3 linked regions of the Oryzias latipes genome follow. The protein of the gene in region 1 purifies or fractionates together with the protein of each later gene. This does not show direct contact. Links are inferred from orthologs where the notes say so. Each region holds a gene or a part of one and is shown in the gene's direction. Other genes may lie near its edges.

What was found.
Region 2: the proteins of fibp (region 1) and cdk5 purify together in Homo sapiens (affinity purification with mass spectrometry; 7 studies listed by BioGRID and IntAct, counting the BioPlex papers as one, with this or other methods). This does not show direct contact. The link is inferred for Oryzias latipes from reciprocal best matches to the Homo sapiens genes FIBP and CDK5.
Region 3: the proteins of fibp (region 1) and c2cd5 purify together in Homo sapiens (affinity purification with mass spectrometry; 3 studies listed by BioGRID and IntAct, counting the BioPlex papers as one, with this or other methods). This does not show direct contact. The link is inferred for Oryzias latipes from reciprocal best matches to the Homo sapiens genes FIBP and C2CD5.

What each region holds. Positions count from the first base shown.
Region 1 is NC_019868.2:11,647,872-11,652,139, reverse strand, and holds the start of fibp (acidic fibroblast growth factor intracellular-binding protein), read left to right. Parts: upstream 1-1,468; 5' UTR 1,469-1,544; coding exon 1,545-1,562; intron 1,563-2,154; exon of another isoform or gene 2,155-2,511; intron 2,512-2,636; coding exon 2,637-2,721; intron 2,722-4,268. UniProt on the Homo sapiens protein: May be involved in mitogenic function of FGF1. May mediate with IER2 FGF-signaling in the establishment of laterality in the embryo.
Region 2 is NC_019875.2:27,780,601-27,784,065, reverse strand, and holds the end of cdk5 (cyclin-dependent-like kinase 5), read left to right. Parts: intron 1-470; coding exon 471-540; intron 541-662; coding exon 663-723; intron 724-811; coding exon 812-892; intron 893-1,104; coding exon 1,105-1,191; 3' UTR 1,192-2,938; downstream 2,939-3,465. UniProt on the Homo sapiens protein: Proline-directed serine/threonine-protein kinase essential for neuronal cell cycle arrest and differentiation and may be involved in apoptotic cell death in neuronal diseases by triggering abortive cell cycle re-entry. Interacts with D1 and D3-type G1 cyclins.
Region 3 is NC_019864.2:19,276,845-19,280,412, forward strand, and holds part of c2cd5 (C2 domain-containing protein 5), read left to right. Parts: intron 1-773; coding exon 774-866; intron 867-1,904; coding exon 1,905-1,937; intron 1,938-2,241; coding exon 2,242-2,373; intron 2,374-3,568. UniProt on the Homo sapiens protein: Required for insulin-stimulated glucose transport and glucose transporter SLC2A4/GLUT4 translocation from intracellular glucose storage vesicle (GSV) to the plasma membrane (PM) in adipocytes.

The sequences.
Region 1 (4,268 bases):
AAGAGCAGTGAAGTATGGAGTAAATACATCATGAGACATTACAAGTTTCTTTCCACAGAACATTTTGTGACGATAGACTTTTTTTTCATGGGTTTATGCTGAGGCATTCAGCCACATCCTTCCGGCCTCTGTCCCACCTCCATTGTTTCAGTGAGGCCACAACAATGCAGGGTGTTAACCCTGCAAGTGGGAATCTGTGCATGGACTCTGGGTGTCATATGAGGTTAGAAATGAGAGTGTTGACGTGCTGCAAGAGATCTGAGAAAAAGGACACAATGACTGGCTCTTTTTTTCTCCCCATGTTGCGATTTTAAAGGACACGCGCGGAAACACAGAAAGGGAGGGTGAGGAGAGAGATTTACAGGGATTTATTTGGATTAATCCCCAGAGGAAAAGAGAGCAGATTGTGTACAAGCAAGCAGCAAAGCAAACCATAAACTGTAGAGTTGCTTCAGGCAAATATGTCTATTTTTGATGTTATGAAGTTTGTAATGAATTCATTAATGCAAGAACAAAGGTCAGCCAGAAAAATGAGCGGTGCTGTAAAATGCTCTGCTGCAGACCGTTTTGATTATTCACCATCATTTGATTTTAAGCTGAGAGAAATAAAAATGTAATGAATTTGTGTTACATTAATGGGAAATTAGTACAGTTGATTGGAGCTGTTTGGTTGTTCAAATAATCTTATTGAAAAATATTTTAAAAAAATGAATGAATGGAGTTGTACTGGGCTGCACACTGGTGTAGTGCTTAGCTCCTCACAGCAAGAAGGTGTTGGTTAAAGTCCTTGTTGGTTAGCTCTGTTTCCTCTCTCAGTCCAAAAACATGCTTCAGTGGTTGTTTGTCTGTGTGCCTGTGATGGACTGAAAAACTGACCATGTGCGCGTCGCCCTCACCCTGAAGCAGATTGGATAGACCACAGCCTCCTCTGTGATCGTGCACAGCACAAAGCAAATGCAGTAGATAAATGTTACCATACGTTTCACTATTAAATTAACTATTAATGGGGGGAAAAAAGTATATCACATGTAAATCACATGTTTCGGCTGTTTTCTAACTTGCAAAAAAAAATGTTTAGGTGTGCTTTTCTTGAACTGTAGCAGCAAATAGCAATTAACATTTTCTTGTGTTTGTTTGAAAAGGAAAGAAAGTATGAGATGATATAATTTAATAAGAATATTATATCAAATTATGTTGCAAACAAACTAAAACAAACAAAACTCCAGCCTAATCTTCAAACATCTTCACACACTTTGAGCAAAATGTCATTATAATACTGTATATATATACTTATTACAGCATGTATCCTATTAAGTATACTTTTAAATTGTTGCTGTAAACTATACATTGTTTGTTCCCAAAAGATTGCCCTGTGTTATTTAGATCTCGAAGAACTGTTCCAATTTACTCTTTTTTTTCTCCTTTTGGCTGTTCGCTACAGGACAATATCCCTCTGCATCCTCCTCACTGATGCCAGCCAAAACTCATGTTCTCTTTCACTACATCGCTGGAGTTCCTGCAGGAGTTTCCATAGGGCCTTGGTCATGGCAGTAGGAGTGCAGGTATCCTTTTGCAAATATATTTTATAGTTCATTCTTCATCTGAATCTTCTAAATCTCGTTTTCCTGTCTTTTTTCACCAAAACATTCGAAACAGTCCCTCTGATAAACTAATGCCTGATCCTACCTGTTATTGCCAGTCCTATAAAGAGAACCTAAACATGTTCAGCTCTGCCTCCAGTTTGTTTCTCAGAGCCTCTGTCTCCAAACCAACAACATATCTGTTCTCCCCAAAGTCTTCTGCACCTTTTCATTCATTCTTGATGACAACTCTAAACTGTTAGTCACACCTGTTCATCTCTGCATTATTCCAGACAATGCATTTAGAATTGTCCACCTTCTTCACCTTTACATTCTGTAACCTGACAGGGACACCTACATTATTAAAAACTCTAAATTTAGAATTTAGTCTAAAAAATTGTAAATTCTGTTTGGTTTGTGTATGTATACACCACTTAAGTGAGAGATTTCTTTTGGGGGGAAAAATTATCAACTTATTATAACATTATAGATATTTTATCTTTTTTTATTTTATTTTGCAGCCCCGCTTCATGATTTCATGCGATTGGCTGAGACTTCCTATGACGTCACGTCACCGGAAGCTCGTGTTAGTGTGTTGACACTGCAGAGCCCAAACCACAGAGATCGAGTACCGTTTTATCAGAGATGTTCGTGCTGTAAACTGCTTTTTAAGCCTACGGCAGTTGTTTGATTGCGTTTTATTTATTTATTGTTTTTTCTTTTCAATTTTGTGCCATGTCACAGTTTCGTCGTATGATAGTTTTTTTTTCTCTGTAAATGAACGGATGCTAACTTTGCTACCTAGCTAGCACTGAAGCTAAAGCCAATTATCGATGGCGAGTCCACCAAAGCCCAGCTAACAGAAACCAAAGAGTTACTTTTAATCAAAGGTTCTTACATAAAAACCAGTTCATTCAACGCTGAAAACAAGGTAGAAAATAGAGTTGTAATATTTTAACTTGTCTGAGTTAGTTTAATTTCTGCTGTTATTCACTTAACCTGCCTTAACTTAACCCTATTTTCTAACGTCCGGTTCTTTTTCTTCGACCTTCACAGATGGCAGTAGAACTGGATGTGTTTGTAGGGAACACCATCATCATGAGCGAAGAAGTTTACCAGCTCTGGTTGGATGGATACACAGGTAGGAGAGTAACAACATCCTCCGTTTGATCTTCTAATAACACTTGTCTGGTTGAGACATGATGTCATGTCTGTGACAGCTGCACAACATGAGAAGATGATCACTGTTAAAATTACTTAATTAAATAATTAAATTAATTGTTTGCATCATGGTCATCACAACTAAAGGGATTTGATTCACAAGTTAGCTTCATATTTAACATAGTTTGGATTGAGGATTTATTATTAATTTTAATTTCCAATACTAAATCTTTTTGTTTAGTTATGAAAAATAGTTTTTATCATGTAATGATCTAAAGTGGAACTTAATTTGATAAGGATATTATAACATTTAATAACGAATAGAACAGTAGTTTTGTTGCCAAAAAATTCAAGAAATTATTGTAATGTAAAATAAATCAAATTCGTGGATTCCAAAAGTCTGCATTGTAAACTTTACAGGTAAGGTTGATTTGATTCATTGTTCTTTTAAAAACTCTACTTTAGTGCCATGGCATTAGCTTTTGTATTCATAAATAATTTTGAAAGTACTTTTAGTTAAGTCATTTTACAATATAATAGTTTTTTTTCTTTAAATAGGATGATTATTTTTTTAACTTGGAAATTGCATGGAAACGATTTGATGCAGTTAGTATTTTTTAACATGCAAATAAATTATTATATAATAAATATTTTCAGCAAATCATAAATTAATCTATAAAAATGAAAGAAATTTTTTGCAAAGATGATGAAAATAAAAAAGTAAAACAAAGCATACATACATGACTTATTTGACTAAATAAAATATTTGATCATGAACATAAGAATAAGTATAATAAAGAAAATACTTGCTTCTGGTGTCTATTTTATTTGGAAAAATTAGGAAAATTGCCCTCTGTGGGTTTGGCCTTAGTAACTAAAATAGTATCTGAATTATTTTAACAAATAGAAGATTCTACAGAAATAAGAGAAATCTATAATTAATTTGTTCACAGATGAGTTAAGGATGACTCTGATTAGATGTATGAACACACTAACAGTGATTTTATAAAAACATGTAATCTGTGTCTGTTTATATTTTATATTAAAATCTAAGACCTCAAGAAAAAAAACGTGTAAAAGTGAAATTCACTGTTAATTTCACCGTCTGCACAGATTATACTCTTAGATTTTTATACTCTACATACCAATCTATTTGAGTCAAAGTAAAAAAGTCCAAATGTTGAGCTTTTAAGTGTATGATAATCATTCCTCATGAGAAGAAACCCCAAAGCGGTGTTTTGATCCATTCACGCATTTCTGAGTATTTCCATTAAAAACCTGCTTTCTGATCACCAGCCCATCCAATCCACAAATACAAATGAGACAAGCAAAAGAGCTCTGCAACGGAGCTAGTAAGAGCTATGTCCGGTGAATTGGTGCGGTATGGCGAAGCTTGGGAATCTTAAATCTTATGATATTTTTCTTATTTTCATCGAGACAATAATAAATCGATCATTCTTGTTTTTAGTTTTTCCCCTCTTGAACGCATGTGGGTCACAGAGACACGGAGATAGCGGCAGAAAGCGG
Region 2 (3,465 bases), on another chromosome or scaffold:
ACGCTTTTCTCTCCAAATATGTATGCATTTCCTGAATTATGCCTGTTTACATCCTCTGTCCTCCACTGAATGTAAATGTATGCAATGTCTGGAATTGGGTTTTGCATAAGTAAATGATCATACTGCGGTGGTGAAAAAGACGTCAGCATCGAGCACATAAATATCAAACACAGGTTTTCTTGTACTCTAGTTGGGATATTGTCTTCTGCAATTAATGTAAATCTATAGGATCAACGTATCAGCTGTGTAGGATGGTTTACATTCAGCCTTGCTGCCAGCTACAAAGCATTTCATGTGTTGGAGATTCAAAAAAAGAAAGGAAAATGGTGGAGCCGTGGGCTTAAATATAGAAGCTCTGAACCTGGGATTAAAAGATGTGATCAGCTGTCTAGCACTTCCTGTTTTGTCTAACATATGATGCATTTTTAGAAACCAGATGAAACCTCATTGCTTATTCTGCCGTGTTTCAGAACTGGCAAACGCCGGGCGCCCTTTATTCCCAGGCAATGATGTCGACGACCAATTAAAAAGGATCTTCAGATATCCTTTCTTTTTTTCTTTCAATATTTTTACATGCACTGTCAGTAAAAAGCCAATTATTCCCATTGTATGATAATAATAATCTGCTTTGAGAAACATTCTTCTTTAAGTGTTTTTGATACATTGTTGGGTACACCAACGGAGGAGCAGTGGCCAACAATGACAAAACTTCCAGATTACAAGGTAAATTAATTCATCCAACTTTTATATCAATTTACTTTCTGAATCAACTGCTAACAATTTTCTTTTTTTTTGTTTGTTTTCTTGCCAGCCATATCCTATGTATCCAGCAACCACCTCACTGGTTAACGTGGTTCCAAAACTAAGTAATACAGGACGGGATTTACTACAGGTACTCCAAACGGGCCTCTTTTTTATATATTGAGTTATTATAGGGGGTTTCATTTTAATGTGATCTTTGAGGAGTTTACATGTTACGCTGTTTAAAATCCTGTACTTCACTTCACTCACTTGAGTTGACGTAGTGATACTTGGAATTTGTTTTGGGTTTTTTTCTAAGAATGTTTTTCGCTCATTAAAGTTTTTGTCTTTGATCTTATCCAGAATCTGTTGAAATGTAATCCTGTCCAGAGGATCTCTGCAGAGGAAGCCTTGCAGCACCCTTACTTTGCCGATTTCTGCCCACCATAAAGGCTGCGCTGCCCCCGCCGAGCTGGAGCTGCAAGAATGAATAAATAATCCTTCAACCTGTCTGGTAGTTAGGACTCATTCAAATAAGGCAAATCCCCCGACTGGCTTTCAAACGCTTCGCTTTTGCCTCTGTGTGAAGCAAAGCCTCAGTGGTACTTTATTTTTTATTTTTTTTTACATTGGAACCATTTTATACATGCTTCCTGATTTACAACATTAGATACATTCTATAGTCTTTAATTTATTTCTCTTTTTTCCCCCCTCCAAAATCAATTTAAGACCATAAAATAAAGAGAAAAATTGCAAGTTGCAGTGTTTACAGTTCACTTCATAACATGGTACCAGTTTGCCATGAGCTAAATTACTTTAAAACCTAAAGCATTGGCTTTTCAAATGAGGTGAACTCATTTTGAGTCCTCATGCAAAAGCAAAGAAATGAAACCCTGCAGGAAATGAGTCTGAAAAAACTGGATGTCATTGGAGATGTTTCGGACGAATCGGAACATTTTTTTTATTAAATACCTTCCTGTCCAGTAATTAACTAAGACAGCTACTTTTAATCGTTGTAGACGGCGGGTTTACACGACAGACAAATGTCAGTTAGTAACTGAAAAATGCTTCACCTTTTTGTTTAGGTTTAGAGCTTTTTTTCCTGTTATTTGGGTTTCATCAAAGCAAAACGGAACAAAAGACCTTCAGAGAAAATGTTTTGTTTCTGAAAACTGAAACTGCAACCAAATATTCGGCCTCTATTTATGAACACAGATTATTAAACCGCTTACACTACCCCCTTCATCCTTTTCTTTCATCTCTGATCCCAGTTTTCTTTATTCCCAGAAAAAGGAACTTTTCATTCTTTTGGTCTGGCTTTTGATTTTCCGTTTTGTATGGTTTTGGGGCACTTTGTCACAGAATAGACATGCTAAACGCTGGCAGTCCAGATTACAGCTAATCCTCAATAAAAAGCCTTTTATATATTTAAATGACCAATAGTGACACATTGCTTTTTTTTATCATGTTTATATGGTTTACTGGAATGCTTTTATAATTATAAATGGCAAAAAAAATCACTAGTTTTTATTTCCATGTTACACAACTGTCATAGTAACATTAACTTGCTGCATTTTTTTTTAAAATTTCAAATTTAACTGCTTTTTTTCTTATAAAAGTGAAAATACTGAGTGCAATCTGAAGCAGCTCTCTAAGAAGTTAAAGTTTTACTGATGTTGGTAAAACCAGTTGCATGTATTTATTAAGGATGTTTTAAGTACTTTTACTTTGGCAGTTAAGCATTTTGTGTAGAGAATTTAAAATAATTATTCTTAAATTCCACTTTTTTTCAGTATTTAAAATAAAAGTTGAATGCACATAGATTAAGTTATATGGAGAGTTTGCTTTTTGTACTTTTTTTTTACAGCTTTTGCACTTTGCCTTTTTTTTGTTTTTTTTGCTTTTGCTGGTTGAATTTGTGACATATCATTTAACTGTGAGTTTAAACCAGGAAGTATTTCATGACTTCTGCATAAAAAAACATGCTTGCTTTTTCTTTCAAAGTAAATAGCTTGTCTATTCTGTCCTTTCAAGTGTTGTAGAAAACATGAATTGCATGTTAAAAAAAAAGAAACGTGGTAGGTGTGCAATTCCAGTAAAGATGATAGAGGAATGTTTTAAAATACATTCACTGCTTTGCTTAACAGTTTTAGATACAATTGCAATAAATCAGCTTTTATCTGCTTGCTTGATTTTATGTTTGTGAATGTTTCTTAAAGTTTTGCCTCTGTTCTATACATTCACTTAGGCTGGCCCAAATGTCTCTACTGTAATCTGAAAATCAATGCTCTAAAACACAGTTCGACTTAAGAAAGTACAAGAAACACAAAGCTTTTTGTTGACTTTAACTACATTTTCCGCTCTAGTTTCCTCAAATAGATGGCTGTGATCACATATAGTTTTATTCACTAAAAGGTTATGGATGTATATAAATATATATTATAAAACAATTAACATCTGTGCATTTGATCAAATTAGTACCAAACTAAATTTAACGATTACAGGTCAGCTGTTAAATGATCGTTAAGTTTGAAACTCAAGTGCCATTTCTATATTTTATTAAAATTTTTAATTCATTCCAGCATGTTTTATGCATTTGGGAGTTTATTAGCATTGCCAGCGATATTTTAACGTTACGTGTTCATATTGTATTTCATATTGGTTCATTCAGTTTGAGCAGAGAATTCATGCATTACATTTTCCAAATGTTCTGGGGGAAAAAAG
Region 3 (3,568 bases), on another chromosome or scaffold:
CTACTGCCGCTCTGCAGAACTTTTCTAAACCTAGAAAACAACACACGATCTTCAGATCGATCAGATATAAAACTGAACCCATTTTTTCTGTGAACTTTAGGTTTAAACAAGAGAGAAAAGTGACATAATATTATTGTATATTCAAAAGAAAAGCCTATTAAATGTATAGTGAAGGGTTTTACAGCCTTACACACCTTTAATCCTACTGTCTACATTTCACCGATCGCTTTATGGAGCGTATATCCTGCAATAAATAAGGGAACATTGCAACCATAATTAAAAGACCTTAGGAAACGCTTTTTCAATAGCTCCAAAAATGACCTGAGTGGGGCTTAAAGTGAGAAATTTATTCCACATTGCATCTGGAAGTATCTCTTCCTAGATGGACAAATGCAAATCATTACTATAAAGAGAAGGTAATATTCTAAAGATTTGACGGGAATGACAGATTTAATTAAATATTAAAGGTTTTCTTAATTGGAGCAACCATGCATTTTTCTTTCTCAAAGGTTATTACCCCGGTAAATCTTTCATTTTTTTACTTAAACCATCAAACACGGTGATGATTAGATTCTTCTTTTCCAGAGGCATTTCCCTCATTGTAAAGTTTAAAAAACAAATCTCAATTTAAATAGAAACAGTCAAGTTTATCAGGTTTTCTCAACAGCCTCAAATAACTTCTGACTCCATGCAGCCGTGGTACTACTTACAGTTACACGTGTCTCACATTTTCCTTTGAAACCCTGCCTATTGACAATGAAATATCTTCAAAGGTTGCAGTGAGGCTGAAGACCAGCTGCAGTTTTCCCTGGAGCTGTGTACAGATTCGTCATCCATCAACTCTCAGTCTTCCTCAAAAAACTCAGGTATTTTACTCGCTTGTTTCTAGCAGCGTCCCCACCTCCTCCCCTGCTTTGCTTGACTAACAGGCACTGCCCAAATCCTTCACTGATACTTCTGGTACATTGTCTTTAATCACCCCAGCTGCAAAACTCAACCAAAATCAGCTGATTGTGGTTCGTTCAGCAGGTAACCAAACAGTGATTTGAAGTAGGCTGTGTGTTTTGGTTTTGCTGTGACTGTAGATTATGGTATGGCTAAACTTCCATCAAATGGACACGAGCGCTAGTATGGGGTCAAATCAGGATCAGCTCAAAGTGAATGAAAAACCAGATTTTAGATTTGGGGGGAAACTGCTTTAAACTCAAAAGTACACATTTGAAAAATATAAGTAAATAGTTAAAAATTGGAAAATAAAATACATTTTATTGTGTATTTTGTTTAGTATTTATGAACATTTAAAAAACATATATTTCAAACTTGAAGGAAATGTTGAAAAGAGAGCGTTTTTTTTGTATTTCCATCTTTTGTTTTTTTGTTTCTTTTCCTTTTTTCACTTTCTGTCCTAAATTAACTATTTCAATTCAGACTGTTTGTTTTTTTGAGCTGTGCTTTATTTTCTGTGTGGGTGGGTCTTTGACCCCATTGGCCACCCGGACCTGATTGACATCAGGAGACGTGATAAGGGGGGGTCATTTCCACTCCAAAACCGTGCTGCCTGTGCCAGTCCTCGTTCTGTCAAATTGAAAATATTTTTTATATAATTTATACATTTATTTTTAAAATTGAAATATTTTCAATATTTCTTTAAAGTGTTTACAAATAATTTTTTTTTTCAATTTTAATATTTCCTTCAAATTTACAATGTGTACTTTGGAGTTTAAAACTGTTCAACTTTTAAGAGAACTTTTTTAAATTTGCTATCAGATTTTCATTCACGCTAAGCTGATCCTGATTTGACCCCATATGCTTGGAGCGTTTACATTTGGCGTTACCAAAATGCAAATTTGCATTTTTTGCAATGCACAAAGTTAGACATGGACGTCTGTTTGTTTGTGTGACAGGTGTTCCAGAAAGTTCTCATTTGTCTACCAGAGGTAAGTCTGCTTTCTTGTCTTCTACCTACCGCCCCCTCACACACCTACCAACTACCAAAAACGACAACACAGCCTTATTTTTACTTCTCATCCTTTTGTCTCTGACAGTTCTCTTGCACCACTCCCAAACCTCATCCACTTTTGTTCTTTTTTATCTTCTGTTTCTTCGTTTTCTGTGTATTGTTGTTTTTGATTTGTCTTTATTTTGGATGCCGTTTGTGTATGTGCGGGTGCGGGCTGTGTCCACGTTGTTTTGTGTGTGTGTGTGTGTGTGTGTATGTGTGTTTGCGTGTGTTCTCTCCAGCTGCCTCCGTTGATTACGGTTCCTTTGCAGACAGATGCAGCACCTGGCTAGAGCTGCTTAGGCTGAAAGCTCACACCATAAGACGAGGATCAGTTAAGACAAGTAGGAGGACACAGTCTCTAGCACACTCTGGTGATCATACTCGCAAACACAGAACACGGTTTCACAAAGCAATCGCACAAGCTGACATATGCACTTACACACCCCTCTGTGCATGCTGTTTGAGGGAGGGGGGAGGGGGGAGCATTTTAAAATCAAGCTGGAGTGTGAAAGTTGACACCCCGCTTCTCAGGAAGATCACAATCAGCTGCTTAGCTTTGAAACAACCGTAGCCCCAGTCACCACGATGATTTCTTCTCTCTCCTTCTGTAGACTTGCATGATAAGCAGTTCGCTAAAAATCCTTTATCTCTTCTCTGCATTTGCATCTGGAAAATTCCGAGAACAGTTTCCACTATTTGAGTGTGAATTCTTGGGGGGGGGGGGGGGGGGGGGGGGGGGGGGGGGGATGTTCGAATCACATTTTCCTGCACACTGTTGGTGATTATTGTGGGGCTGGGTGCAACGCTTTCCTGCGAGAGCTGCAATGATTTCCAGCCCTCTGCATACAATATGTGTAGTGTCTGGCTCTGAAGGTTCGTGGTGTCCGGATGGAAGCCACCTCAGGTAACTGCAGTGGAGCACCTTTCACACTCTGGTCCGTGTCCATGTGCTCAGCTCTGCTCATAGCTGTTTCCCCGTGCGTCTCCATGCCTCACAAACGGCAGAAAGAAAGAAGTCCTCTTTCCCCACATGTCCTCCACCGTAAATACTGCATTCACACTTTGTTAACAGCTGTGCCCAGGTCTGTCTGTCTGTCTGCAGACATCGTCTTCCTGTCTGTCTGCTTCGTTGACAAAGCATGGCAACGCATGCTCTCCAAGTGATTGTCTCATACGTACACCTCACAGCATGAACGCTCATGTCATCCTGAAACTAAAGACCCACACATGAGCAGTTGAGCCAAATTCAGATTTTTACTTATTTTTTAAACCAGTTTAAAAGTTTATTTGAATTCTTGATCATAAGCAGACAATTTATAAATGTCTTTATGCAAACTGTTTAATGACCCACTTCGATGGAAGTCGTTTTTTTGGTGTTTTTAACATTCTTGTGCGATTGCTCTGATAATAGAGGACAAATACCAAGCAAATTCAGCGGAGCAGAGGAAAAAATACATTTAAAAAAAGATTGTATTGGTGACGTAGAAAGCCACAAGCTCCCTCTCTGACAAATAGATCCATGTACGCCTTCGTTTTCCTCGTCTGAGCTGTCATCTGGATACGACT